Tribolium castaneum: one gene and its partners. The protein of the gene in region 3 purifies or fractionates together with the protein of the main gene of each other region. This does not show direct contact. Links are inferred from orthologs where the notes say so. Each region holds a gene or a part of one and is shown on either strand. Other genes may lie near its edges. The genes, in order: Prp16, TIP41-like protein, PPP4R2r and coiled-coil domain-containing protein 6.

The links.
Region 1: the proteins of PPP4R2r (region 3) and Prp16 purify together in Homo sapiens (affinity purification with mass spectrometry; 3 studies listed by BioGRID and IntAct, counting the BioPlex papers as one, with this or other methods). This does not show direct contact. The link is inferred for Tribolium castaneum from reciprocal best matches to the Homo sapiens genes PPP4R2 and DHX38.
Region 2: the proteins of PPP4R2r (region 3) and TIP41-like protein purify together in Homo sapiens (affinity purification with mass spectrometry; 5 studies listed by BioGRID and IntAct, counting the BioPlex papers as one, with this or other methods). This does not show direct contact. The link is inferred for Tribolium castaneum from reciprocal best matches to the Homo sapiens genes PPP4R2 and TIPRL.
Region 4: the proteins of PPP4R2r (region 3) and coiled-coil domain-containing protein 6 purify together in Homo sapiens (co-immunoprecipitation; 3 studies listed by BioGRID and IntAct, counting the BioPlex papers as one, with this or other methods). This does not show direct contact. The link is inferred for Tribolium castaneum from reciprocal best matches to the Homo sapiens genes PPP4R2 and CCDC6.

What each region holds. Positions count from the first base shown.
Region 1 is NC_087394.1:24,669,286-24,677,145, reverse strand, and holds the start of Prp16 (pre-mRNA-splicing factor ATP-dependent RNA helicase PRP16), read right to left. Parts: upstream 4,481-7,860; 5' UTR 4,302-4,480; coding exon 3,604-4,301; intron 1,476-3,603; coding exon 975-1,475; intron 623-974; coding exon 258-622; intron 1-257. Other genes in the region: sodium-coupled monocarboxylate transporter 1, read right to left, coding at 4,680-4,980, 5,033-5,289, 5,520-6,006, 6,059-6,199, 7,829-7,860. UniProt on the Homo sapiens protein: Probable ATP-binding RNA helicase. Involved in pre-mRNA splicing as component of the spliceosome.
Region 2 is NC_087402.1:4,516,105-4,522,985, forward strand, and holds TIP41-like protein, read right to left. Parts: upstream 3,690-6,881; 5' UTR 3,543-3,689; intron 3,488-3,542; 5' UTR 3,482-3,487; coding exon 3,303-3,481; intron 3,256-3,302; coding exon 3,076-3,255; intron 3,024-3,075; coding exon 2,804-3,023; intron 2,757-2,803; coding exon 2,442-2,756; 3' UTR 2,394-2,441; downstream 1-2,393. Other genes in the region: eIF5B (eukaryotic translation initiation factor 5B), read right to left, coding at 1-211, 384-1,108, 1,158-1,876, 2,034-2,105, 2,154-2,200; TWiK family of potassium channels protein 9, read left to right, coding at 4,032-4,187, 4,419-4,692; odorant receptor Or1, read right to left, coding at 6,221-6,280, 6,327-6,482, 6,527-6,731, 6,779-6,881. UniProt on the Homo sapiens protein: May be a allosteric regulator of serine/threonine-protein phosphatase 2A (PP2A). Isoform 1 inhibits catalytic activity of the PP2A(D) core complex in vitro. The PP2A(C):TIPRL complex does not show phosphatase activity.
Region 3 is NC_087402.1:9,725,495-9,733,197, reverse strand, and holds PPP4R2r (serine/threonine-protein phosphatase 4 regulatory subunit 2), read right to left. Parts: upstream 5,237-7,703; 5' UTR 5,094-5,236; coding exon 4,215-5,093; intron 1,939-4,214; coding exon 1,387-1,938; 3' UTR 1,155-1,386; downstream 1-1,154. Other genes in the region: uncharacterized protein LOC107397720, read left to right, coding at 5,614-5,889. UniProt on the Homo sapiens protein: Regulatory subunit of serine/threonine-protein phosphatase 4 (PP4). May regulate the activity of PPP4C at centrosomal microtubule organizing centers.
Region 4 is NC_087398.1:5,838,343-5,846,402, reverse strand, and holds coiled-coil domain-containing protein 6, read right to left. Parts: upstream 4,523-8,060; 5' UTR 4,229-4,522; coding exon 4,001-4,228; intron 3,952-4,000; coding exon 3,658-3,951; intron 3,533-3,657; coding exon 3,034-3,532; intron 2,761-3,033; coding exon 2,528-2,760; 3' UTR 1,284-2,527; downstream 1-1,283. Other genes in the region: RpS4 (small ribosomal subunit protein eS4), read right to left, coding at 1-242, 435-532, 583-841, 1,180-1,182; subdued (anoctamin-4), read left to right, coding at 5,274-5,605, 6,294-6,630, 6,679-6,747, 6,809-6,877, 6,982-7,142, 7,199-7,367, 7,425-7,818, 7,868-8,060.

The DNA of each region.
Region 1 (7,860 bases), on a different chromosome or scaffold from region 3:
AAACTATTGTTGTAATATAGAAAATGAGCATTTTATCATAACAATTGAAAAAAAGTGTCATTTTGTCTATTGTTTTCTAACTAAATTTTTTCTTTGACACTACAATACTCGAAGAAACCTACGTCAAAAAATATTGCGCATCTGAAATATTTTAATCCGACTTATCTAAAAATCGTTCTCGTTTCTATGATAAGATAAGCGTGTGTCACTTAATTCAATTCTTTTCTCCGATTATTATCGATTAATCATGGCCTTACCCACAATAATAACAACCGAATTCTCTCTGATAACATTCAGCAATTCTTGTCGGACGGCAAAAACGGGCAAATATCGTCTCTGTTCGAGAATAGTCTTCTTCTTGGCGAAATCACTGGAGGCTTCTGTCGATTTCATATGTTCGGCGAATTTCTGATCGGTTTTGTAATCAGCCGTGTCGTCCTCTTTGTTGAATCGTTTATCTTCTTCGTCCTCCTTTTTCTTGATTCCCATGATGTTGCCGATTTTGGTGCCTCCAAGCTCCCAATGCTTCTTCTGAGCCTTTTTGCGCTCCTTCTGCTCACGGTACACCCGCACAAGGTGCGAGCCTTTGCGCGAGACTATGGCCATGTCAGAAGTGGGGTCCCTAGACAAATAAAAATACAAAATTTAATATTAATCAAAGTAACTTTTCATTTCATTTTCACCCTAATTGAATGATTTTTAAGACAACTTTTAATAAAATCTTGAAAAAAAAACAATATTTATTTAGTTAAAAAAAAGCTTAGACGTTAAAAAAATACGAAAACACCACTATCGCAGTCATTTGATGACTTTTCATAACGCTTCTGGTCGAATACAAGCTAAAAATTAGCCTAATTTTGATTTTTCGGTTCGTTTAGCAAAACGTGCGAAAAAAACTGAATTTTTAGATTAATTTTAGTAGAATATTCAATGTTGCTAACTTAATTTCAAAATCTCACACCACTTTGATTTACCTAACAGGAATGACCGGTTCCGGCTGTTTGGTGAAGACAATCCTCCCGTCCAGAAAAGGGGGCACAATATTGTGCACCAACAGATGGACCCGATCGATGGATTCTTCATCGTAGTCTTCATTAAAGTCAATGGAATGTACAGCCCCCGAAGTCAGCATTCTGTTCCTCTCCCACAACTCATTATCCTTATTGATCTGTCTTTGTTGTGCTGAAAGCCGCTTCTTCTTCCTTTGCTCCAACTGTTCTTCTTTTTTCTTCGTATATTCCTCACTGACGCTCGAAAAAGGGTTATTTCCATCATCGTACCCCTCATCCATATTGTACCATTCCCTGTCAATCCTCTTCTGTTCCTCCTCCCATAATTCCCTATCGACGGTGTTATCCCACTTGATAACCCCATCTTTGCCAGGCATGGGCGTAGCCCCACTCCGTTTCCTGTCTTTGGCCCAGGAATTGTATTTATGGGCCGGCGTAAACCTCGCACTCTCATCCTCGTATTTCCTTAAATAATTATATTTTATTAGCATCTATGGATTGGCGTGCTCAAACGGATCATTCAAAAGATTATTACTTGTTACTTTTGTTGCACCAAAACCTTTCAGAATGTTCTGACATTCAATATTAAAGACAAGTATAAAAAAATTATAAATAAGCGCTACAATATAAAGTATTTATCAGCAAAGAGGTGCATAGGGTCGTAAAATTAATTTACTTATTTTATTTTTCTACAAAACTTGACATGTTATAAAAAATGTTTTTACTCTTATTATCTCTTATATAAAATAAAATTAATTTAGATATAATTTATTAAAAAAAATAAAATTTGTTGTCCAGTGTTTTTTATAAAAATGTCTAACTGTTGACAAACGCTCTTGGCAATATAATAATTGTCGTCAGGTACTAATAAATCGATCCTTGATCAGTATTTAATTCATTTTTAAACAGCAAAAATTTTAATAAGTAAAGCACGCACAAAATTTTATTAAAATTTGTTCAGTATAAAGTACCCAGTAAAAAGTAGAAAAGTGTATATCCACAGCATCTAATTTCAATTTGCACGGTAAAAATAAGCAACAACAACGATTCCACTTTAAAAATTTTTTAAAAATTTGAAAAATTATATCTTTAAAAATTAATTATGGTTTCATGTTCATTAAAATTTAAACTTTTACGGATTCTAGATAGACTTCAGTTTGTTTTTATCAACACCTGAAGACAAATATTATCACTTTGTGTCTATGAAAAGGGAAGTCAATGCTTATTAAGACATAATATTGTATTAAAATACTATGAATAAAAATCAGTATTTCGTAAAAAAATTTTAATAAAAAAACGCTTCTACTAAAAAAAACTTATTTGTCGAACGAAACAATAATTCTAGTGCTATGAAGATTGACTCTCAGTTTTCTGTAATTTGAACTGAAGTGGACTTGAAGTTAAAGCAAGTTCCAAATTCTTCTTCAGACTTAGTTTAAAAATAAAATTGGCACTTTTTTATTCCTTCGTATCATTTAATTGTTGTCTGTCACATGATTATTTTGCATTTTTTGTTGCTTTCTTGTTAAAAATTGGAAATTGCAGAGTTAATTACGCACTTTTTGTCTTCACATTTATATCAAAAACTGTTTTCTGATACGGAATTTGACCCTGTTTCTGAGTTTTCGTATCTACATTTTCATCTAGGATTTTTTTGCCAACATTAATGACATTTTTTCAAAATAAATCAAACACTGGATCCAACTTTTTTTACTAAAATTTCTCCGAATAAATTGGCTATGATGCTAACGTTAAAACTATTTAACATGTCTGTTCAAAGAATCCCTTGCCAAAGTATTAACTGTGATCTATTCCCAATTTTAAAATTAAAATATATAAAAAAAATAGGTATTAAATTTTTCGTTTTTTTTTTAATTCGTATTCATTAACATTCATTCAGTTTAAAATCTGCAACAAAAAATAAATGTCCTATCAAATTTTATTGTCTTTTTAAAGATGTACAAGGGGTTCGCCAATTTCTGTCGGATGTTAGAAAAAGTTCGCAAAGTGAAAGAGTTTGAGAACCACTGCACTAAATAAAGTATTAATCTATTTTACTAAGAAAGATACGTAATTATATTTTGTTTCTTTACTTAATTTTGTTTGTACTTAATATTATAGCTGTTTTCAAGAAATGTATAATTTTTGGAATTTCGCTGCAATATCAGAAATGTTTATTGTTTCCTAAAACGTAACAAAAGTGTAGTCTGTTTTTTTTAATAAACAATTGTCACTGTCAAAATCAGAAAAAAATCTTCGTTGTATGGCGTTAATTGAAAATTTTTTAAATTTTTTACGTATGTACACTGAAAACAAATCATAGACCACTTTTTTATCTAAATTTTAGACGTAAAAAACCAACTATTTGTTATAAATTTATAAAATAACCCAAGTTCGTTTGTTCATTAAAACGTAACTAATTTGTTACAATAATTCAAGACTTTAAAACAAGGCTTTCAATTCTGCTTTTTATAAGCTTGTATTTTCGCACTCGTATTATTAAAAATTATACTGTGCATTTATTATTTTTCTGTGCATTTAATTTGTGCCGAAACGAAATCATTCATTCGTCCAAAGATCTAGTCATAGTCACCTTCGTTTACTCTCGCGCGAGCTTCGCTTCGACTCGTCGTACTTCCGTGACTTGGTGCTCCGCTCCGACCAATCCCCACCGCTCCCTTTGTAAGTCGAAGGCGTCGGGAAATCCCACGAAGACTTTTTCGAGGGCCCGACATCATCATCGTCATCCCATGACGACTTTGAAATCTCGTCCTTGTGTCCCAAATTCGGGGTCTTGGGCTCGTCTCGAAACCGTGGGGTCTTAGAACGATGCGAACTCTCCCTGTCTCGGTGGCGCCCCCTGTCCCTGTCCTTATCCCTCTCCCGGTCCCTATCCCTATCCCTGTGTCTGTCTTTAGTCGTCGCGTAAACCCCCTTCTCCTTCTGTTTGTTCGACTTGAGACGCTCGATGAGGCGCTCGCGGGCCTCGTCACTGATCCCCCCAGTGTACGTGGGGGTCTCGTTGTGGGGTGACCGGAATTTGCGACTGTCTTTTGAGTGTTTTTCCTTCAAGAGTGAACTTGAATCGTCGGTGTTGTCATTATCGTCCATTGTAAAAGACATTTTTCGTGCTGCTTCCTCCTTTTCGCGACGCTTTGCCGCCGCTAGACGGTCGAGGCCTAGGAGCGAAGGTTGGGGCACTTTGAATGTTGGGGGCTTCTTTTTTACAATCAGGCCGCCTTTTTGGTCACTTATGCCTTCCAGGCGGTGCAAATTCTCCTCAGATTCCATTCTTTTTTAATAACGCAAAAAAATGTTATGTAAATATAACCTCACTCTTAAACTCACATAACCTGAGTTTTTCACATATTGGTAGCAATTGGTCCAGTGGCGTGCAAATTTACGGAAGCAATAATTAATTTGTTTTTGGGTTACTGGGTAACCAAAGTAATAAGTATCACTTGCACTTACAAAAAGTAGGAGTTATTAATTTAAAATATAATTTTAAAACTATATTTTGCTTCAAAAATATATCATTTCTAGTTATTTTTATTTATGAGTTGTGGTACCTCCTCAAAAAGGGATTCTAAGCAGAGGCGTCTCATACATCTGGGGTGAAGGCAAACAAAATGCTTTTTTACTAAAATAACTGTTTATTTCATACAAAATTCATGATTTTATTATTTTCGCATCGTCTTCGTTTTTTTCCCAGTTGGTCGTCACAAGATGCAGCGCTTTTTCCACACTGTAATAATCCTTGTTTTTCTCTTTTTGCATATCATCATCATTCGGAAGGGCAAAATGAACAACCGGACTTATTAAATCGCGATGTACCGGAGGATCGTCATTTTCCAACACATAACTTATCAATAAACCGCATATTATTGTAACCAACGCTCCAACTCCGGTGTAGTAGTAATGTGAAATTCGAAATAAAAAAAATGGTTTCGGTTTTTCTCCATTTTCGGTCCTGTAATATAAAAGATGAGATAAATATGGTCTTTAAATATTATGTGACTTACGCTTGAGTAAAATTGCTTAGTAATTGACTTATAGTCGAGTTTTCTATCGTAATATCTTCTGTTGCCACACTTTCCAGTGATGATAAAGTGGAATTAAGTGTGGTAAGAGGTGAAAGTGTTGTAAAATTAGCCAAACAACCATCCACAGACGTCGGTTTTGGCACATCAACTATGCTTCCTTGTGCTTTGTAGTACTGGGCCATTGTGACAATCCATGAAGCAAAAAGTAGTGCAATAATTGCTCCGTACAGAGAACCCTAAAGGTGTAATAAAATATAAATTTGAAATATTGATACGAGCCACGAAACAATTGCTTGAATGATCTCCTTTCGCATTTTTAAGAAAAAAAATCATAAGAATTTTTATTGGTGACATGTATGAAGTGTTATATTAAAGACTTTTGGACAACATGCTAGTAATGTACCAAACGAGTGTGAAATATAATATTTAATTATTAATTTAAAGAAAAAATTATGCAAAAACTTACTTTACTTGACGCTTTCGGGAACAAAACCCCTAGTGTGAACATGCCCAACAAAGGCCCTGAGGTAACCCCTGCCAGACTTATAGCCAGGGCTAAAATCCCTCCAAGATGCTCAATAACAAACACTAGGACTGTACACACAACTCCGGTTATAACCACCAACAATTTCAAAATATAAGTCGTGGTTTTCTCTTCCACATGCCCAATTATTTTCGAAATAAAATCCTCATACATGGTCCCTGCCAAACAGTTAAGACAAGCGGATAAAGTGCTCAAAGCGGCGCAGAAAATCCCAGCAATGAAAAGTCCCGAAAGTCCCGGAACATAAGATGCAACGTCCATAACATAGTAGGGCAAAAGTTGGTCGTTTTTCTGCACAGTTCCGGTTGTGAAGGGGTCACAGTTGGCGTAGCGTGCGTACATCATAAGGCCAGTGAAGACACTAAATGACGACACGATGGATATTCCAATCGAAAAGTAAATAACACACCTGGAAAAATTTTGACCAAAATTATTGGCAAAGTCCAAGATTTGGGCTTTACTGTTTTGATTCCTGGAATGTGGAGACGGAGAGGAACTTCTGGACGCAACTTTGGTGAATCCCCACCATCGAGAGCCATCCTATGGACATGCCGATGGACGTAATCCAGAACGAGTCCCGTTTGGTGGGGTCCGGGTCAAAGCTGGAAACGAGAAGAAAGTCACTCTTGAAAATTTGTACACCTAAAAAGTATGAATAAATATTATAAAAACTATTCATCAAAACTCATAGTAGTGTTTAAGTCCTAACGTCTCAGATGTTTATCAATCTTATATCTCTATTTGTCCTGGGGATACATAATGGGAGGAAGGGTCAAATTTAATATCTTTAAGAGGATCATTTTTTTTGAGTTCTCGGATATAACATATTTACCTATTTACCTTATTTAAAAAGCTATAATAACGTCAGCTCTTTGTCGTTTGAACTTTGGCCAAAAAATAAGTAAAAGTTAATAATAATTATTGTTAAAATAACACTTTTAACTGAGAAAGAACACATTTTAATAAAAAAGATATTTAGCTGTATCCATACTTATTAGCGACCCTGCATATGAGATTTATTAGTAATTATAAGTTATAAATAATAAAAGTATTTGTTGGTATTTGAATAAATACTTGTAAATTTAGAAGTTTGAATGTATTTAAATATTTAAACTATATTTATCGAGACACTTAAATTCTCTTAAATTTAATTTTATTAAAAAAATTTGATTGTATTTTTCACAGTCAAACTTTGCTATTTCGATCTTCGATAACTCGATTTTTTTATAGTTACAATTCCATAGCATGTAAGCTGCAAAATCCTAAGATGTTATTATTCGATAACTCGAACAGTCGAACTTCGATAATATGAATTTCTTTACACGTCCAGCCCTTTTGACAATCTCTAGACCGTAATCTGTCTTTCTAGCGACAATTTTTTTACGTATTTTTGGACAAAAGAACGTTTAAATATCGTTTGGCATAGAATGATAATACAAGTGTTGTTACTGAATATTTATTAAAAAATAAATTATTAGGTACTTACTTAATAAATATTGGCATTGGCAATAAAATCCAATTATTTCAAAGACTAAGCAAAATCGACTAGTTTTATTTAAAACTAAAAATTAATGGAATGTAATACTTTTTGGATCAAATATTTTTTGGCCTTAAATTTAAAACAAATTTATTTAAGTATTTTAACACACCAGCAGTAAAGGTTTAATTTTTCATTCAAGATAGCATAACCTTCACCATTCTAAAAATTTTTGTAAGCCCCACTCCAAAATTAATTTCTGAATTTGTCCATTCGAATTGCCTATTGTTTTATTCTTAACATCACCTTATAAACGACAACTATTTTTAAAGGAAAGGATAATCATATTTTGTATGAGTATTTATCCATATTTAACTGTATTTATTAACATTTTTATATATCTAATTATATTTTTTGGTATTTGTTCTATTTACCTCGATATTTAACTTATACACGTAATTGAAATAAAATTTAATTATTAAAAAAATATTTTACGACTTAAAAATATTTACGAATAGATTTATATCAATTTAATTTCTACACATATTTTGCCGTTTCTCTCGATTTTGGAAATTAATTGAATTAATTAATAATTTAAACAAACGGATCATATACGAGCGCCGATCAAAACGTCTTATACTGACACTCTTACACCCTCCGACTATGATTGTATCCTGTTCTTACCTTATTTATGGCACTCCCCGCAAGTTCGTTGTGTTCTAAACCTAAACCACTCTAGTCATAGACCACTTACTCAAAAATATCCAGGCGATGCCCTTCCAGGGC
Region 2 (6,881 bases), about 5.2 Mb from region 3:
CAATTTTGATTTGCTCTTTTATTGCGTCTATAGGAACATTTGTAGCACCGATCTGTTGGGTGATTCCCCCAGCTTCACCGTCTTGGACGTTAGTCCGTCTCAGTTTGTCCAAAATTTTCGTTTTGCCAGTATCGACATGACCCAGAACGCACACAATTGCCGCCCGTAAATTATCCAAAGTTTTTGCTTTCTCAGCGGCTTCTTTCCTCGCCTAATTAAAACAATTAAAAAAATATTGCCCAACACCAAAATCCTCCTTCAGACAAACAAGTAGTCAATTTATACAAAACACCAAGCATAAAAATACAAAAAAAAACACATTTGTTCGTCCAAAGGAGAAAACAATGTAAAAATGTCATAATCGATCAAAACAAAAAAATTACTTTGATTCGTTCCAATGCCCGGTTTCTTGCCCTCTCCGCCGCTGTTTTCCCATCATCTTCCTCCTCTTCATCATCCTCATCTTCATCTTCGGAATCTTCACTCCCCGACTCGGATTCCTCCTCTGAACTCTCTTCCTCCTGCTCGGCTTCCTTCTTCTCTTCTACTTTCGTTCCAACGTTATTTGTCGGTGTGTTTTCTTCCGATTCTTCGTCATCTGAAGAAGCATCCCATGCGTCTTTAACATCATCCTCTGGTTCCACTTCTTTCGGAGGCTCTTCCTTCGGTACTTCCGGTTCCGCAACAGGAACCGCTTCTTCCGCCGGTTTTGCTTCTTCTTCTTCCGGTTTGGCACTTTCGTTTTGTTCTTTTTTAGGCTTTGAAGGCTTGATTCTAGTGCCAGGTCTGGGTTTTTTCACTCCAACATCGGGCAGTTCGACCCCTTGGGCCTTCAAACTATCAATAAGTGCTTGAGCTCTTGCCCTATCAGCTTTTTGTTTGGCTGTTAAAAGTTTGCCTTCAGCTTTCAGTCTTTCTTTGCGTTCCTTTTCTTTTTGTTTTTTCTTTTCTTTGCGTTCTTGCTCGAGTCGCAATGCTTCAAGACGGGCCTTTTCCGCTTCTTCCTCCCTTTTGATCCTTTCTTCTTCCTCGCGTTTTAATTTCTCTTCCTCTTCTTTGAGTTTCTTCAATGCTTCTTGCATTGCAGCAATGGTTTTCTTGCCAGGACCTGAAATTAGGTAATAAAACGAAATGTAAAGACACAAATTGGAGTGAACCTTTTTTGGGCTCTTTTGCTTCTTTTTCTTCTTTTGCGCCCTTTTTCTTCTTCTTTTTACTCTCCTTTTCGCCTTCTTCCTCAACTGGTTCAGTGACTGTCTCATCGGGTTTCTGCTCCTCGACTTCCACACTATCCTGTTTCTTCACTTCTTCTTTCTTTGCAATTTTCTTCAATTTTTCACGTTCCTTTTTCTCTTTCTTCTTCTGCGCCGCTGTTTTGACGGTGCTTGTCACTTCTTCAGTTTCTTCCTTTTCTTCTGACGGTGCTTTCTCATTTTGCTTCTTTTTCGGTTTCTTATCTTCCGGCGGTTTCTCTGGCTCGGTTTTAGGTATATCTTCTTTCTTCACGCCTGAATATTCTAATTCTAGTTCCGCTAATACTTTTTCAATATCTTCGTCACTATCGTCGCGTTTTCTTCGCGCTTTTTTCCCTTTTTTAGGTTCTTTAGTCCTGTTTTCGTCACTGCTTTTATTTGATTTCTTTTTAGTGTCTTTTTTAACAGCCTTAACATCACTATCACTATCACCGTCGTTAGTTGGATGGTCTTCAGGTTCACTATCTTCCACCTGCAGAAGTGCAAACGATTTCTGGACTTTTGTAGTTGGCACTGGGTCATCGTCTGAGTCGTCAGACAATTGGGCTTTCTTCTCTTTTTTCGGTTTTGGGGCTGGTTTTTTTGCCACTTCACCATCGCTATCACTCTGGATTTGCTTTGACCTACATTAGGAAAACACATAGAATGAGTCAAATTGAACCAAAAAATCCCAAACAACGTGAAATTGCAGCAAAAACTACGTTTTTACAGCTGAAAATATGCCAAGTGTTTCGCAACAAACATAACCTCAATGGAGTGACAAAAACTCCAAATACTTACTTAGAGGCTTTACTTTTTTTGTTGTTTGCTTTGTCGGTTGATTCTTGCGTTTCTACCTCAGGCTCAGACTCACTAAAAACGTTTTAATCATCTAAATTGACATTTTCTGTTGATTTGTACCTGTCGTCGCCTTTTGCTCCTTTGCGATTTTTTTTCGCTTTGCCCATTTTGTAAACTTACGTAAATCACTAGTACAGACTTTATTAGTAAAAATTATCATAAGTAAACCAACAATTGTGAAAAATTTTAACAATCTGGCATGAGGTTTATAAAGGACATGCTTCAATTTAGGGACTTTAGTTTTGTCCTTGACCATAGGATAATAGAGAAGGTTGGGGATTTTATTTTTTATGACACAAATTTTGAATTTCAAAAAATAATTTATTAAATGCACTTATTTACAGAAAATTAGTCGTTTTTGCTGGTACTTTGCATGGAACACTGATCTGCGGCCCCTTCTGTTGGTGGTTTACATTCACCAAAAATCAATTTCTCGTTAACTGCAGTCCTTACAGGCATATGGGGGGATAAGACATTTGGGTTTCCAAAAACATTCAGTGGTAACTCGACATCCCCAAACGCGCATTCCTTGTTTGTGAATTCCCTCAGGATGTAGTTTGTGCTAAATTCGTGGTAAAGCCTGGTATCATTTACTCTTAACATAACGTTATCTACCCTTAGAAAAAATCTGAGGAGAATGAAGTAAGAACTGGGCATTACTCGCTAAAAACACACTTAAACAACAAGCATTGCATAACACAACAAATTACGATTTTTATAGTGCATGAAGAAATCCCATTATCGTGTAACTCATCCTCATAAAGCATTAACTCTTGATAGAACAAAATCTTTTCCTTTTCCTTTAGTTTCTCAATATTGATCCGTTCCTCAGTTGGCACTACTTGCACAGGACCGGTGATTGTCCCTTTATAATCATTGCTAAACGTCCAATCAAACGGTTTAATTTTTTGGCTCAAATGCTCAGGTGGCCTGAAAAAACCCAATCAATTTTTTCCCCCTCAATAAACTACAATTTTCAAACCTTGACTCACTCCACTCCTCGGAACAAGCCACTTTTATGGGCAGTTTTCCATTGGCGACAGTTTTAAGCGCATCCAAAGCATTAAACTCAATTTGCCCCCCTGAACTGTGTGTAAGAGTTAAAACATTATTTGGAAACACCATTTCAGGCAAATGCGGGATATCCAGAGTTCGGGTGTATCTTAAGCACAAAAATTAGCCCAAACTTTACCTCATTTCCAAACTTACAAGCAAAGTAAACAAGGTTCTTGTGACAGGTCTTTGCATTTTTCTGCACTCGTACAAATCGAGTGTAGAATATGCGATTTTTTGTACTTTATCACCCAATCATGAAAAATGTGCTCTTCGGAGTTTACGGGTAGTCTTTGGATATCAATTTCGTTTTTATTTGGGGTGACTGCAGACATTATAACCTAAAAAATGACTGACTTGGAGACAGTGACAAATTTGACGTTTGCACCGGTTTACCTCAATTTTAAGACAAGGGACTTGTCTTTAATTGTAAAAAATGGACCCTGTGTTCTAATATCTCACTTTACTCAACTTTGAATCGTTTTATTTGCGTCCTATAACAGTGCGCTTGCGCCAGACGCAACGCATCAGCGCCAAATTTAAAGTTTGCAAAAAAATGTTTTCAAAAAAATTACATAAAATTCGTGTTTTTTGCTTATAGCCTTGATATCGCAGATTAACTTAAAGTTAATCAATTGTACGCAATGCAATAAAATAAACTTGAAAATTGGTAAATCATTATTCTGTTATTTGTTTTGATTCGTTGGCCGCCCCATTATCGAAAAAGCCGTCCCCGGAATGATAAAGCATCATTTGGGAGCGCTAAGCGCATCTGTATACTTCCAAGATTCAGTATCATAAAGCGTCGCGACGCTTTCGCGTCTAGTTGACTCCAGCCCAGCTTCAAGGGTGATGTGTTCGTGTTTGTGATTTTTGTACGCAACCATGGACGAAATGATGGAAACTACGGTTTACATAAGCTCTCCCATGGACTTTAAAACACGTTTTAAAAATTGGTGGAAAAGACTGCGCTTGAAAGCCGCCCTCCAACACATCGGGCTTTTGATAACTCTCATGGGGTACACAGTCGCGGGGGGATTGGTACGACTTTTGAATCAATTTACTTAATCGCGAAAGTTTCAAATAAACGCGATACCAGACCGAAGATCAAGTTTTTATTGGTTGAAAAAGTTTCTTCGTTAGTGCTTTTCGTGTCTCGGGAAATAAACAGCCACACAATTAGAAATAAAACAAATTTACGCAAACTATTCTTAACTAAATTTAAAACGAGCAATTCAGCCCACTTTCCTTGTGTAAATATTTCTCTTTCAGATTTTCCGACGTTTCGAATATCCTGCTGAAATTTCACGACTTAATCATTTCAACAACACGCTCTTGCTGAAAAGAGAGAATTTTATACAACAGATTGTAAATAACACCGATTTGAAAAATTTTGATTACTTTATATCGGGCGAATTGGAGAATTACGAGAAAATTCTGCAAAGTGCGTGCAGAGAGGGAATACCATTATTTCCCAAAGAACAAGTTGCGAAATGGACCACGTTGAAAGCGGTGTTTTTTTCATCGACCGTTTTAACGACCATTGGTAAGTAAACAGTTTCACCACTCGACTCGAGAGACCGTAATCAGTTAATTTCCGCATTAATTTGTTTGCCAATTAAACAATCAATCATTTTTCGCGAATTGTAGTCAAATAAAAGTGGTCCAAACTCGTTAATTCAGAGTTATGGTTTCACTTCCGTTTTATAAATGAGAAATCGAAAACGTGCTACATGTTCGAACACAGGATTATTGCTGAAAAATTCAATCCTAATTTAATTGAATTATAAACACGTTGTTATTACACTGGCTCAAGTGTTCCAGGGCCGTAACGAACATATGAACTAATTTAGTACACTAAGGATGGCCCAATTAAAATTTAAAATTAATCACAAGTCTGCCTAACAGGTTGGTAAAATTTTAACACGTGCAAAGTTACACTGAAATTTTAATCAAATGTGACCAATAAAAATTCATAAACGTCGCAACCGACCAATCACACTTGACTCTCTTATCCATTTATTTTTACGGTGTGTATATTGAGCCACATTTTTCCCAAACAAGGGATAATCAAATGTATCATGCATGAGCCAATTTGCGAACTCGCAAGTGACAAAATAACGAAAATTGAGACTTGGAGTTATCCTTTGAAAGGCCCCGTTTTTATCAAATAAAATAATACCGTGTAACACGCGTGTTAGCCCGAATATTTATTTTATTTTCGCGCCAAGCGTACCAAGCCAAAAGTGGGAAAAGTTGCGTGTTGACTTGTTATAATGGCTTTTAATAAGCACAGGCATTATGGAATCAAAAAGTTTCAATCACATTAGTGATCGATAGAGGGAATAGCAGGGTTTCTTGTTTGCGGATAATTAAATGTAATTCAAAACATTGGTTTGTTTATTTGGAAAATTTATGGTTTCAGCGAGTTGCCACATTTCCGGCAAAAAGCTGAAAAACTGTTTTTCTTTGCAATTAATTTTGTATTTTTGTGGTCGTAACCCATTTTGGTGGATGCGCCAGCACTGAAATATCCTCTATTTACTTGTAATAGTTATTGAGAACGCTATAAATTTTTTCTTGGATAAACATAAGTGAGCGCAGCATTGTATGATGATAAATAGTCACGCCACGAACTACGAAAGGAGAATAGGTATCAGGGATTTGATTTATGGGCACTTAAATGAATGACAATCAATATGTTAAAGTTTTAAAATAAAATTACTAGAATTTTATGTTTTATTCGTAAGTAACCAAATAAAAACAGCACTTACCTGTTTCGAGATATTTATGTTTCCAACGTCTAGAAACGTTTAGCCAATTGCTAAATTTCCGCTTTGTAACAAGAAATATTTCAATGAATTTATTTTCAAAGTTTCCGACAGAATACAGAAATTTGCATTTTTTTATTACTAGTTTTTTCGTCCAAAGGAAAGTCAGAGAAAGAAAAATAAATCGTTGAATATTTTGAAGCGTTTTTTTATCTGTTGGCGTTTGCGAAAGTAACAATTACTCGTGACTGTGCAGCTAATGTCAATATTTGTCAGTGATGCACTTCTAAAAATTACCAAATTTTACGACTTATCATGAACTTTTCTCAGCGCCATAAAATAAGCCCAAGACGACCGCAAGATCTGCAATATTTTAAATTACATCGACTCTTCTCTAACAATTACTTACGCTTGTGAAAGTTATTACAGTAATTGGAAACATTTTCCCGACGAAAAGTACGATCGGTTTTTGTGTCCTTTGCATGAAAAATAGCAGATCTTTCTTAAAACTTTGCGGACATTCGTACCACCGACTTTCATAAGCCGAATAATATAATTTTGCGCTCTGGAATCAGTTGATTCAAATTTGAAGATTTGTGCCTTAATTACCTTCAAAACGACTTCGTTTCCAAACCAACAGTACAGAAAAATTTGCGTAAAAATCGCCACTTGGTAAAATAACAGCATGACAAAAGTTGCATTCAAAGTTTTCACCAGTGATAATAAAAACATGGTTTCACACAAAACTGAGACACTGGTGGCGAATTGCACCAAAACAATGTTGCGGAAAACTAAACCAATAGTTTCAGCTAGTCTATAAATAATTTCTTATTTTTTTAACATACAAAAAAATCGACTCACTTTAAAATTAATTTATGGTGGTGTATACACTTGCCTAATTCACCCCTAACTGTGTCAGAATCGACACTTTCTTTCCCCAAAAGAGACACTTGGTTGTTGAGAA
Region 3 (7,703 bases):
GTACCTATCTATCTAAATAATAATGGTGTGAGGTACATTTTTAGATCCAATCAATCGCTGATCATTTCTTAAGCAAATAATTTCAGGCAAAACAGTTCATCGAAATCTTTAAGAATTCGTGAATTCGATATTCTAAAAGATACCCACAATTCAAACAAAGCCACTTTCTAAGGAGAATTTAATAATATGAGCACCTATTTATTTCACTATATTACAAAATATTACAATCAGCAAGTTCTTTGGCTTTAAACAATTTTGTGAGTTGATCAGACTAACAACGTCAAATGAATTGTTTTAAAAAATTCAATATTATTTTTACCTACTCTAAGTACTCTCTGAATGCCGCGGCTATACTCTGATAGCATTGCCCATACAACTGCTTTAAATCTGTCAGATTGTTATAATAGTGAGCTCCAACTAATTAGTAACAATTTTTTGTTGATTACGCCAATGGACCTTTTATTTTTTTGATCTGAACAGGGTCGGCTTTCAAAATTTCCAAAACCCAAAATCTTAGTTCAAAACACACTTAAAAAGCTTGAAAAAAAGTAAAAATAAAATTGAAGGTTTTCTTGTTATTTATTAGGATTAAAAAAAACAACGAAATCGACTGAAACAGGCAAAACAAATCTTCAATTTTTATTATTTCTGTGATTTGTAAGTTTATTTTAATGAAATATGAACTAAATCAAGTGAAACAGGGTAAGAATTTAGGATAGCATCAATTTCTATCATTTAGAGATTTTCCTTTGTTGAAAACATTACTACTGATTTAATTTGACAATTATTCATTGTTTTACGCAACGTCTTGTAACAAAAACTAAGATTTTAATTCAAAACATGCTAAACAGCTTGAAATTTTCGTAATAACGTAATCTGTTTCCACTGATTGCTTAGGGCGTTTTTTGGTTATTTATTGGGACGAAATTTTATTCCAAAATTAGCGAATAAATGAGTGAAACAAGCAAAATATTCCAACAATTTTGGATTTAAAAAAAAAAAGTTCAACGTGCTTTAGAAAACTCTTTTAGAATAAAACGCTGTTTTGTTGGCTGCCTACACGAACCAGACTAATTCCGGTTCAATTTTTATCCTCGCTCCACTTTCTCTGTAAAAGTAGGCAGGATGTCGGTCTTGACAAAAAGATGCAAAGGTTTCAATAGATAAACCATTTATTCAGTTCTTTATTACGTACAAATTTATTTACCTACGCTCTACATACAAATTTAAAAAAAACGAATTTTGTTGACGAATCAGACGAACCCTACAGATTCTAGTAAAATGAAAAAACTTCGTTTGCATAATTACACATTGTATAAATACTTAACAATTAAGAAGGCGCGTTTGTTAGCCTTGATCGTTAATTAAGGAAAAAAATTATCTAAATTATAAAGGTGAGTCTGACGTAGCTTCAGCCCTGACAACCTCTTCCACTTTTTCGCTAAACTCATCCACATCCATCGCAGTCGCCGCCTCTTCACTTGCCTCTTTCACCCCTTCTTCGGGAGCAGCTTGAGATTCTTCACATTTCTCAGTCTCTTCAATTTTCGCTTCAGCTTCGCTTTGTGACGAGTGCACCTCATCAATTTTGTCAGAAGACGTAATTTCGAGGTCTTCTTTAGTTTCTTCCTGTGGTGTTGGGGAGGCATTTGAACACTTGGTGGTATCGACAGTTATTTCTTCGCTTTCGTCCGGATTCTCGTCAAGTTTCTCTTGCGATGTGCCAACTTCATCCTCGTTTTTATCGCACTCAGTCGACGATAACTCGCTCTGAGGGACCGCATCGTCCACAGTTTTCTCCTCCTTACTTTCAACCGATTCCTTGTCGTCTTCAGCGCTTGAGGACGAGTCTGCGTCCTCGATTTGCTGCGACGAAGGCGTTTCCTCTTGTTTAGCCTCAGATTCTTTGGAAGGTTCGCTGGTTTTGTCAGATTGGTCCTAGAAAAAACATGTTTTCCAAATTAAGCTGGCACAACTGCCACACTCGTAACTCCGAACTGAAAAAATCCCCGATCCACTTATTCATCAGATTATCAGACTTTTTTTTGGTTTGCTATTATTGTTGACGAAATTTTGCTTAAAAACGTAAAAATCAATTGGGCGAAACGAAAAGAGACAATTTTAGCAAAGTTAAGAAACAGTTTTTAGCCTAAAAACGTGCGTAAACGCGCGGAAAGGCAATACTTTGGTAAAAATCATAATGTAAAACATGCACATTTGCAAGAATAAAAAATACTGCAAAAAGAAATGTGTTTTTCTATTTAATTTTGTAATTTTTTATTCATTTCAAAGAGATTTTAAAAATTAAAACATACACCATTTCCAAACACATTTTGCGTTTCTTCGTATATTTTTTTCAAGCAAGTTGACTCAAAAATAGTAAATCATGTAAAACACCATCAATTTTTTTGAAGTATTTTGGATCTTTGCAAAATAAAGGAAACTGGTTCAAAGACGAGCAAAATCTAATAAAATGAGCAAAAAGAATATCTACTACTACACTATAATATAATTTGTTTATTGTTAAGCCAATTGTATGTAAATTATAGTACAATTTTTCGAAAGAAAAAATTATTTCCGTTTTTAAAATACACCTAAATGCTCAAAAAAGGTAAAATAGCACCATAGCATAATCCTGGGTTTGTTCTGAACAAAATTTTATAAAATATTTGCATTTCTGACTCTAAAACATGCTCATACACACAAAAAATACAGAAAGAATATTTCCAGCTTAATTTTTTGGTCTTGTCTAAAGAAAAAAAATACATGAAAAAGTTAAAAAATAACACCATTTCCAAAAAAATGTACCTTTTCAGATTTTTTTCTAAGAAATTTTGCACAAAAACTAATAATGTTATTTTCAATCTAATTTTGTAATTTTGCTGTAATCTCGAAAGGGAATAAAAAAATAACAACACTTTCTAACACATTTTGAGTTTTTTCAAGTGCAACAGTTAAATACCATCAGTTTCTTTGAAGCGTTTTAGATGTTGCAAAATAAAGGAGACAGGTTTAAAGACGAATAAAATCTAATCAAATAAGCTAAAAAACATCTACTAATCTACTACTACACTACAACATAATTTGCCAATTGATACTAATTTTAATATAATTTTTGCAAAATTATTTTCGTTTTTAAAATACGTCTAAATCCTCAAAAAATGTAAAACAGCACAATTTTTAGCGTAATTTGGTGGATTTTGGACTTGTTTTGACCAGAATTTTATTAAATTTGCATTTCAGGCTCTAAAACATGCTCATTCTCACAAGAAAAAAAAACTTGAAAATGGTGAAAAATAACTCCAAAAATGCGCTTTTACATGTTTTTTCCTAAGAAATTTCGGTTTCTTCTTGAGGCGTTTTAGCAAGATTTTGCAAAATAAATAAAACTAAACCAAGCGAGACAATCTAAGCTGCGTATTTTTTAGATATTCTTTCAAAAGGGAAAAAATATTTCGCGTTAAAAATACGTTTAAATGCATAGAAAATGCATAGAATCACCATTTTTAAAAAAAGCTGGCAAATTTTAAGCTTCTTTACAACAAAATTTTACGAAATATTTACATTTCGGACTGTAAAATATGTCCACACGCACAAAAAAGGAAGAAATAATGATATTTCCGACTTTCTTTTTCTTATTTCTTAACTTTCGGTCTTCTCAAGAAAATTTTGTTAATATAGCTTAGTTAATACTTAAAAAATTAAAAAAAATAACACCATTTCCACACAAATTTTGCGTCTTTTAGGGTATTTTACTACGAAATTTTGTTCAAAAATGAGCAAATTAAGTGAAACCATCAATTTTCATTTATTTTTGTATTTTTTTGGCGCGTTTTAACAAGATTTTTCAAAATAAAAGAGGCGAATAGAACGAACAAAATTTTGTAAAATCTTGAAAAACACATTGCATTTTATTCAAAAACGTGCTTGAAAAGCTAAAAATAACAATTTTAAAATCTATTTACGGTTTTTTGACTTTTTTTACGAAATTTCGCTCCTAAACTAACTACATCGAGGGATTTTGTGATTTTAATGGTTTGATAACAGTTTTTTAATTTAGTAATTTTCGAAGAAATTTTGAAATTACGAAATCACAAAACTTGGTGAAATTTTGCGAGGCCTGGCAACACTGTCCTGAGTGTGACGTGACCATTTAGCAATTAATGTTGCCAACTTCAAACACATGGACACTTTGATCAAAACTTGGTACTTACACAAGACTCGGTGATTTCTTCGGTTTCTGACGAAACGACCGGTTCGACACTGTTTCGTCTCTTTTGGACCCCTGCAGGTATGGCAGTGATGGTAACCGAGACATCCGTCTCATCTGGGTCTGATCTGGTGCAAGTATTTGATGGCACAGGTTCAATCGAAACGTAGGGCTCCTCTGAGCTTCGACACGTTATGACAGTGTCTTGAGACGAGCTGCAGGCCACATCTGGTAGCTTAGACGCGGTGACCACCGTTTCTTGTACAATTGGCTGGGTTTGAATGTCATTACTGTTGCTATTCTCATTTTGATATGGAACATTTTCGTTCTGTAGCAATCTAGGCCAAGCTGGCGCATCGTCCATTTCTTCCACGTTGATGTCATTGCTGCTATTGCTAGTTTCCGGCAAATGTTCCGACTCCAACCCGTTCATAATGCCCTCCCCGTTCTCCGTGTTCCTCCTGCCCCCAGGTTCAGTGGTGCTCACAACTAGGATATTCTTCTCCAGGGCCCTCATGTACTTGTCTATCCGATTGTACTCCTTCCTCGGAGTCGTCAACAGCTCGCAAATCCTCTGTAACGTGAAGGGGGCCGCCGCAAACGTGTCCAACTTCTCTAAAATAAAATTCTTCATAAGGTCGTAATTGAAAATGTCCACGTTGGGACAAGGGGGTATCTCGACCGAAGGGCACGTCTCGTAGAACTCCGTTATAACGTTAATCATCTTCTCGCGAAAGAGGCTCTTTATTGCCGACCACTGGTACACAGGGTCCCCTGTTTTCGCCACAAAACAAAGGTACTCCTCCAGTTCGCGCGGTATGTCCTTGGGCTTGGTTTTCGAGAATTCCTCTAAACTGTGGAGTATTTCTTCGGGATTTTCCATTATTGTTATTGTTTTTTTCGCGAAATTTTAGCACCACCGATCACCATCTACTTGCGTCAACAAGCGCACCAATGACAATAACGAAGTTAGCGCCGGTTCAATATCATTCCACTCAAAGTAGGACGTGATCGACGAACTGCGCAACCGCGCGCCTATTTTAAGGACGTGGTCATTTATCAATTTAAACGCGAGACAATTTTATTTGATTTTAAAGTACAGTCATTAAAAATTATAATCAGCAACAGCGCAAAGTCTAACACGTGTGCAAAAACCGGGTGAGCGACACCGAGATTTCGCTAAAAATATTTTCTCTGCGAACACTCGGATTTTTTGTATAACTGGTTGCATACCCTGTGGTTTTTAATTCAAAAATTTTTTTTAATTTGAATTTAAAACACACCTTAATTATTTTATTACGTGGCACCTGGAATTTAACGTTACGAAGTCATACTTTATACTCTTTTTATTACGCGTTGTTAAATATTTACGTAAGAAATAATCGTTATTTTTTTGTAAACAGGTGTCGCCCACCGAGCTTGAAAATCTGCTCCTGGAGATGCCCGGAGTGGCCGATTGTGCTGTTGTGGGTATTCCGGACGCTTTGGCCGGTGAAGTGCCCCGAGCTTTCGTCGTGCGCCAACCCGGGAGCAGCCTGAGTGAAGACGACATCCTACTTTACATAAACCCCAAAGTGGCCCATTACAAAAAAATCGCCGGCGGTGTTAAATTCGTCGAGTCGATCCCAAGGAACCCCAGCGGCAAAATCCTGAGAAACGAACTTAAAATAAACGCTTAAAATTCATAATTGTAAGAGAAAAATACCTTGTAAGTTTTATTTTGTACATAGCTTTAACGTGGCTTATGAATATGATATACTCTGTTTATCTTTTATAATACCGAATTGTTTGTAAATATATTATTTGTTATGTATTTGTATCATTTTGCGCACGTATGAGGATTATTTTCTTTTGTAAGGCAGCCCTATACCCGAGCGTAATCGCTTTAAAAGATTTGTGTTAATTAGAATTTAGAACTCTTACAGATGCAAGCGGGCGACTTTTGCAAAAAGTAACACACTGGCCCAGATATAAAAACGAATCAACGTATTGTTTCATTTTACTCTGCTTGTATGTGTTTATTTAATTATATAATAGTTACAGTAAAGAAAATAGATAAATATTTTCTATGTGGAACTAAAAAGAAACTAGCAACAACAAAATTGTTTACCAGCACACAGCACAAAACAGAAATTATTGTCGGTCCGACAAAAACTTTTACTCCTTTCAACAAGCAATAAAACTTGAAGGGCTTGTAGCGACATGCTATTTAGCAAAAACATAAAATGTAAACATTCAAGCAGTTGTTTTACTTCAAAGTAGCCGATGTTGACTAACTTTTTTTGTGTGAAATTGATAGGCCATTAAATTTAATTTATATACTCTACACCGTATTAGCTCCGACTCATGAGCTTCCGACTCATATTTCTTCCCACTGGAGACTTTTGTGCAAATTTTGTTATTGAAAAAATCTTGGTTCAAGTTCACCCGTTTCGAATGTCGCTGCTTTGTGGTGGAAGGAATAAAATAAAGGTTACACGACCACCTCAATATTTTTCTTTTAAATGGGTGTGGTGTGTGTCTCTTTGAAGATAACGGATGTTATAACGAACTTCCGGATATAACGAACTAGATTCGACTTAAAATGTGATGCGATTTTCCGTTTATAACGAACTTTTTATTGAATTTTTAACAGAAAACATTTTAACTGGTGGAAACGTGTGTTTTTAAACCTAATTACAGTGTGAATTTGAGAGTTGTGCAAATTTTTTATGATAGTAGAGATCTAAAAAGTCAAAATTAATCATCTTACTTTATATAAACTTTATTTACTATTTTCACTACTTTTTACTCCACTTCAGCGTCTAAAAATTCGTCAAAAAGTGCAATGTCAACTAGATTTGCGTCTTTTGAGTACTTTTTCCCAAAGTTTACATTCGGTGGTATTTTTGCCCACATTTTCATATTTTTTTATGGCAGAACTAAACTCAGAGATTTTTGTTGTTGCCAAATTCATTCGCCGACCAAAACTCTCTATATCTCAGAAACTATAAATATTCGGATAAAGTAAGTTGAGCTATTTTTTACAATTTTCACATTTGAGGTCTACTGTAACACCTTATTTACACAACTATAGTATAATTCACACAGTATACATCTGTAACATGTAATATATGAATATATTACTATTTCGCAAAGGATTCAATTTATTTATACTTATTTATTTAGTCTTATTTCAAATGTTAAGTCAAAATTACTACTTAAAAGACATTTTTTTTAATTTACCGCTTTTAGCGAACGAATTGATTGTGATGCATTTTCTGAGTTCGTTCTAACCGGATACCATTGTATCGGGTGATTCAAAAATATGTGGCATAATTTTAACCACGAAAACCCCTCTAAAAATGAAAATAGATAGGATAGTATTTACTGACCCACCACAAAAAATTGAAAAGTTACAATTTTTCAGAAATTGGTATGGAAAAATGGTTTTTTGAAAATATTTTTCTTACCGTTCATGCGATTATTATGAAATTTTGCATGCCAAGAGACA
Region 4 (8,060 bases), on a different chromosome or scaffold from region 3:
TGACGTTCTCGGCTCACCACTGTACCGACACGCCCCAAGTTACGACCTCCAGTAATCATACACAAATTACCGGACTCAAATTTGATAAAATCAAGAATTTTCGAAGTGGCAATCTCCAATTGAATGGTGTCATTCACTTTGATCATGGGGTCTGGGTATCTGATAGTGCGTCCGTCGCGGGTCACCAAGAAGGGAATGCCCTTGGGGCCTGTCTGTACTTTCTTCACTTTGCACAATTTATACTAAAAAATATTAATAATAATAATTACCAATAAAAAATCAACGACTGAGTTTCGTAATTTTAGTGCACAAAATCAGATGAGTAAGATGTGTTCATTAGGAATCACATTTAGGGGGAGCGAAGCTCAACCCTGTGCCTTTTATCGATTTTCATCAATTTTTCCCTGAAACGGTTTAAAAAAGCATTCACTCACTTTGGCCTCTTCTCCAGTAATGCGATGGATTGTGAACCTTCCCTTAACATCATAAATCAAGCGGAAGAATTCCCCAGTTTTCTCAATAGTCACAACATCTAAAAATCACTATTGCGGTCCCAAAACTTGGACAAAAATGAAAACGTACCCATGAAACCCGCGGGGTAGTTGGGGTCTGTCCTAACTTTTCCGTCAACTTTAATCAATCTTTGCATAACAATCTTCGTCACTTCTGAGTTGGTCAAGGCATACTTCAGCCTATTTCGCAGGAAGATAACCAAAGGTAGAGACTCCCGTAGCTTGTGGGGGCCGGTGGAAGGCCGAGGGGCGAACACACCCCCCAGTTTATCCAACATCCATGCTTTGGGCGCATTGAGACGCTTCAAATGCTTTTTGGGACCTCGCGCCTAAAAAATAGTGGTTAGGGCCGGAACGCCAACAATGTCATAAAAGCACAAAACAATCACTTTACAACCTGGAAAAACACAACTCGCGAAAATGAGCAGGAAAAACACTTTTCGCAGAAGGTGGTTTAGTTTTTTCGAACAAAACTAACGTGTTTTTAAATGTTGACATGACGATCTTTTTTCGACAATTATTGACTTGTGAGGCACTAATACGGATAAATAATGAATACAATGTGAGAAACAAGGTTCCAATTGTTAATTTAACGTAATTTGGGCCAAATTTAATAATAAATAACACGGATGATTGTTGATTTATTAAAAAATCGGTACGGACTTACCATCTTGACACTTCACCCGGATGAAAAGAGAAGGATCGGTCGGTAATGCAGTTAGTAGAACAAACAAAAATGGCGTAAGAGATGGGCGCAAAATTTAAAAACGATTGCTTTTAAGTGTTTATTATTATTTAAAAACCATTACATATCATTCAACCTTATACAAATTATTAAAATAGAAAATAATTCGTAGCGTAAAGATTACAGGAAATTCGTAAGCCAGTTGTTTATTCAGAATCATTTGTTTCTGGGACTGTTGGTGCAATAGGCCAATGTAATCTTTTTTATGATTCACAGCGTTTACTAAATAGAATAGCTTTTTTTACAAAAAAAACAAGATAAAAACAACATTTTCAGGAAAATACATCAGTTTACTAAAAACATAACAAATATCTCAAACTCACATTAACAAAATGTTATCCTAGACTAACATATGACCCTGAAATAGTCACCGAAAGTTTTCATTGGCTTTTAATTTAGTAAGGGAAGAATTTTGTTTAAATTTAGAAATTTGGCAAATCAAGATGATAATGTAATTCCACCAATGAAACTAATGAGTTTATATCCTAATATCACTTTTCACAATTTTTTTGAATTGCCACCTGTAGTGTCAATTTTTGAGATGTTAATCTAAAAAACACCTAACTCTAAACTAAATAGTCTTTAATTCGTAATTTCTAGTGTTATGAATGTAACAAATCGGATAAATAACCTTCAACATTTCAATTAAACTTACTTAATTGAAATGGTGTTACAAATAAAAAACGTGATATCCATTACTTAAAACGTAAGCTAGATTTATTATTGCATGACAAAATAATGAATACTAAGAAAACAAGTTTGGCAGAGTGCAGTGTACAAACTAAACGAAATTGTTAAGAAATCGTGTCACAATTTTAATTAACAAAAACTCACATATCACAAACATTGTGAAAATTGTTGGCAATGGTTCAACATGGCATCGGACCTGTGACAACTGCCGTTGCTAGATTGAAAGATCACTTGTAAACATTCAAATATGGAAATATTTTAGTAGAGCTGACCACAATGAAGCTCCCTTTATCATATAACATCATTAAGTACACATATTAAAAGCAAAGCAGATCCCGAAATTAATCAAAAACAGCTGCCCGAAAATCGAAAAATCCAAGTATAATATATCTAAATAAGAAAAAATTATGTATCCATTAGTTTCACAGTAACACCATGTAGTTTTATTAAATTTATTTGTTTCGAACTTTAAAGCCCCTATACAAATAACATGCAGAGAAAACCAACAAATGTTCACCACCTGCAAAACGAAAGCCCATCAACATGATTACTTATTTGTCAACTCGACACCTTTTTTATCTTATTCTTTAGTGATTGAAGTATCCATGGGACTAGCGGGCTGTGGTGCTGGAATCGCCGGCTTGATGAATCTTTCGCTGGTCCTTCGGTGGGCCGGGGCCGGGGGGCTGCTGGAACCCACGTTGTGCAAAGCAGGCACGCAAGCCGCCGTTAGTAATTGACCGCAAGTCGGACAGCGTGGGGGGCCCACGATTAGCGAGTCGCGCGGGGATGGGGCTTGCATCGACGACAAACCTAAAAACATCACAGTATAACACCTACATCCGAACTAATTGTTACAAGGGGTTCACGGATTATCGATTAATTGGTGTTAAAAATAAAAAAACATAATTGTTACAGCGAAGATACGCAAATACACAAAATAAGACTTTGTATTTTTTGAAATAACTAACATAGTTTAATAGAAGGCAGAGTTTAAATATATATTTTTTCGGTATGTTTTTTATAGGAACCCGACAATATCTGGTTTTATCTTACAATTAGGAGCTTAAAAAATGTTTTTCCCACCTGGACTCAGGGGGCGACTCTGGCTAGGCGACGGATTGTACGGAACCGGCGACACCGTGTGCTGCCTGGCCCCAAGCACTTGCTCGTTGTAATGCCTCTCCTCCTCCATCTCCAGCGAGCTTTCGCTCTCCGAGAGGTGGCGACAGAGAGCTTCGCGCCTCTCCACCTCCAACTGCAGCTTCCTCTGCAACCTCAAGTTCTCCTCCTTGATGTTGCGTTCCTCTTGCGCGTATCTTTGCATCTTCTGGGTGTGCTCTTGTTGGCTGATTGCTAATGTTTGCCTCAAACGGGCCACTTCCGAACGGAGAGTCTGGATGTGGGCACTGAGATTGGTGGCAGTATCGCCGTTGTTGATGTCACGAGGACTCGCCGGATCTGAGACCGGTTGGTCCAATTTGATCTGAAGCATTCGCTTCTCGGCCTCGAGCTTGTCCATGCGCTTCCAGAGCTTGTTAACGAGAGCTTCTTGCTCCTGCTCAAGAGTGTTCTCAAGCTCGACCTAATTATTAAAGTATTATAGATATTACACAAATGAAACTAACTCTTGAAGAAATAAATAAATTATTTAAAGTACAAATTTAATTTTTTAAATTTAATGTGTAATTTTTTCCCCATGTATCTTACTTTTTCGCGTCTCAGCTGCTCCAAGTTGCTCTGCTTGGCCAGCGTCTCAGCTTCTAGTTTCTCAATTTTTCTCATTAGACGGTTAACAAGGCACTCTTGTTCCTGCTCTAGAGTTTGTTCAAGTCGGCACTTCTCCTGTCGCAGCTGCGTGAGTTTCCGCGAGAGATCGTTGGTAAGACACTCCTCCTCCCTTTCATAGTGGTGGGCTAAAGACTCCTTTTCCTTCTTCAACGCTTGAATCTTCTTAAGAAGAGTGTTTGAAATAAACTCCTCCTCTTGCTCAGCCTTGGCTTGCTGCAATTTTGGGTTAGTAAACGGCAAGGCTTGAAGGTTTTGGACTCACGATAATGACAGAGGCCTGTCTCAGGCCGCGATTTTCCTCCTGGAGCGCCTTGACCCGCAGCTTGTAGGTCTCGAGTTCGACTTTAAGCACCCGATTTTGCTGCTGCAAGCTTTCTATCCGCTTTTGGAGCTGCTCCCTGGTTATGGGGCTGGGGGGCATCATGATGGGGCCCCCGTCAATGCTGCTCGAATCAGACTCACTCGCTGAATCAGCCATGTCTTTAAACATAATTCAACACGATCAAATTAGGGTAGGAATGGGCGAGATCGTCATGGATTTTTTTCAAGTGTTGAAGAATTTCTTCTGGGGTTTTTTCAGGTGGGTTTGTTTGGCATAGAGTTAGAGGAGGGAACTGTTATTTTTAGTTAAAAATACATAAATTCACACCTTTATTGCTTCACTGTAACTATAAAATTAAACAATTAGCAATAAACATGAGGACAGATGACAATTTTTGGTTTCGTTTCTTGACAGCCGCCATGCACATTGCTGCCAATGCGGAAAATGTTACCAAAAAACCGGCTGGAGAACGAATTATCGAAGGTAATACGCCTTCAAATCGGATGAACTTTACCTTATCGCAAACAAATTGAACAACAAGGCAATATTACACGTTTCGGAAAGTATAGTAAAGTAAAAAATTGCACAAAAATTTTCAATTTAGGACTTTTATTTTCCTTAGTAACTTTTTTGCAGAATCGAACTAAGAGGTGGCATGATCCATATAAAAAATTAAAATACTTAAACAGAAAATTGGAACCTAAAACTGAGCCACAATATTTATTACCCAACTTTTATCTTCTTTAGCAAAAATATTAAATAATGATTCTTTTTTTTATCTACTGTATAAGTTATTCAAACTACCAGTAGTACAAAAGAACTAATTATTTTAAAAAGGGGAATTTGTACTTGATATTATCACTGTAATATCGCTGTAAAATGTGTATTATTTCGCATTTAACAGTGAATCTGTGAGGTGAGTATGTGTTTTTTTTTAACTCAAGTGATCAGGTTTCAAATTACAAGAATGCAGTTGACATGTTTAAAAATAGCAAACACTTTTTTGTTAAATAAAAATTACACAAACATAATAACAGCAGTCAGTTATCACTGCATGTAATTATGGTCTATGTTATCATACTTGTAAATTTTTACCCAAGTACTGTTATGTGACGTTTTCAAGCTCGTGACTCACTAGTCCAAGAAAAATGAACCACTAGTCGTTTCGTGTTTAAATTAAGCTTTACTATTTTTATAGATTATTAAAATTGTGATGCCACTAGAGACAACCAAAGACAATGTTCGAAAAAACTCAATTACAACGTCCATGTCAGCCCCTTTGTTACTGTCAGGACAAGAAACGTCAGAACTGTCACCTACCAGAAGAAAAATCCATAAGAAGAGACTGACCATTGTAAGGCATGGGGACAGTTTGGAAAATGATAGATTTATGAGTCAGCCCCACATTTTGAGTTACTGTAATGGGGAAGTTGAAGTGAAGCAAAGAAAACCCAATTCATGTGATAAGTTAGATATGGATGCTATGTCTGTTGTTAATTTGTATAAAAGTGCTGATGATTTAGATTCGGAAATGGATACGGGAAGGTAAGAATCGTCTTTGTCTGTTCGTTTAACACCTGCGGTTGTATTTGTTTATTTTATCTATTTTTACGTGCAAGTGTTGGCAGGTACTAACACTGTTTCTCTGATCATCTTACGCAAACAATAACTCAAGCCCAACATTTAACTCTACTACATTTTTTATTTTATTATTGTGTATACGCAAACACTGATTTGTTCCGAGTACTTATTTTAGAGCAAGAACTGCGACCTTTGTTATCAGAATTAGTAATAATAACGCTATTATCACCGGTTTAAATAATATAAAAAGGAAATGCAATTAGATGCCAGCAAAAAGTACTGCACTCATTCTTCTTTTAATGAATTTTTATTTGTGTTATAACTATTACAGTACAATAAAAATTACCTTAAAAATTTCCGACTTTTATTCGTTATCCGTTTATTAAAATTTAGTAAACTTTCTAAACCAACAAGAGGCACGTTTCTGCCATTAACTCATTAGCCTTTCGAAGTTCAGTCGATATTTGTTTTTATCAAAATGCGGGTGTGGTAGCAGACTAGCTTACTATACATGTTTTTAATATTGTTCCACATTTTAACCACACTGACGATATGAGAATCCTCAATCGATACCTCTGTTGCGCCCCGTAAGTCCCCAAGTGCACAAACTCACGTTCAAATCCCCTCGCAATTAACAAAATTAATTTTTTAGAGACTTTTCCGACAATCCCCCGAAAAACAAGCCTCGAATCATAATACCTGAAAGTTCACTCGAATCGCCAGTTTGTGATACTCAACCAAATCATAACGAATCTAGTCATAAAAGTAGCGAATGTCGTAAAAATAAAATATCGTGTCGTATCCCTACGATTTATTTCAACGACGGCATGAGATCGGTTGATTTTGTCCTCGTATGGGACGCCTTCAGAGAGGACGCCACCACACCAGAAGCTTACCAAAAACGTAAACTTTTTGAAAATAATTTAGTCAGGGACGGACTTGAATTGGAATATGTGCCGCAAGAAAGCAACGGTTTGAATTTTATTAAAGTAATAGTTCGCTACGTTTTGTGCCTCATTTCTAACGCCAAGTTGTAGATTCATGCACCAAAAGAAGTGCTGCGGAGGTATAGCGAGATCTTGAAGTTGCGCATGCCGATGAGAGAGGTAATTGTTTAATTTCTTTTTTTTATTTTTAAATATTTTTTTTTATTTGCTGTTACTACAGGAGTTGTGTAAATTGCCGAGAGAGTTCCGTCACAATCGTTTGTACAATGCCACTGCCTTTATTCGTCAGGTATTTTGTGTTTTGTATTAACAGAGTCAGCTTTACTAACTACGTTTCTGTTCTTTGGGCTTTTCATTTATAAATGACACGAACTGAACGCTGCGTTTTTACAGATGCCGGCGTTTCGCCAAATGCATTCGAGGACTAATTTCATAGTCGAAGGCATTACAAGTCAGTGGGATAAGCTCAAGAGTTACGTTATCGTCGACTCGGAGAAATTTCCCGAGAAAGACCAACGCTTTACAGCGATTTATAGCCGAGACAGAGAATATTTGTATGTTAGTTTTGAGTCATTAGAGCAAAATACGAGCGTTGTTTCAATTTTTGTAGATTCGATGTTGATTCCCCTTGTTTCTTCACTCCGGCCATTCACTCACGAATCGTTCAATTTATTTTGGACAGGAAAAGGTTCAGTGACAACCACCATGACGACTTTGCCTTCGGCATTGAGCGGCTTTTGAATGACAGTGTCTACAGTGCGGCGTATCCTCTACATGACGTAGGATTTTTAATTTTCCTAATTTTCGAGTTTTATTTAAATTAAAAAAATTCTTAGGGCGACTTGCGAGAGCCTGGCTCGCTGCGCTACCTCCTCTACAACGAATGGACAGCTCTCAGCAAATGGTACCGCTACCAGCCCCTCGACTACGTCAAAGAGTACTTTGGCGTGAAAATCGCGCTTTATTTCGCCTGGTTGGGTTTTTACACCCACATGTTGCTCCCAGCGGCCGTCGTAGGCTTAGCATGTTTCATCTATTCGTGCGTCACCCTGTATTACAACAAACCAAGCGAAGATATTTGTAACGGTAACTTCACCTTCAAAATGTGTCCATTATGCAACCACTGGTGTAACTATTGGGATTTGAAAGAGACGTGCACTCACGCCAGAATCACCTATCTGTTCGATAACGCAACGACCGTATTTTTTGCAATTTTTATGTCATTTTGGGGTAAAAAAACTACTTTTGGCATGAATTTGTGCGTGATTTAATCTTCCAGCGGCGCTATTTCTCGAATTGTGGAAGCGATACTCGGCGGAAATCACACACAGGTGGGATTTGACAGGTTTTGATATACAGGAGGAGCATCCGAGGCCGCAGTATTTGGCAAGGCTTGCGCATGTTAAAAGACAGGAAGTTAATGTCGTTACGAATATTATGGAACCGCATGTGCCCTTCTGGCGGCTGCGGGT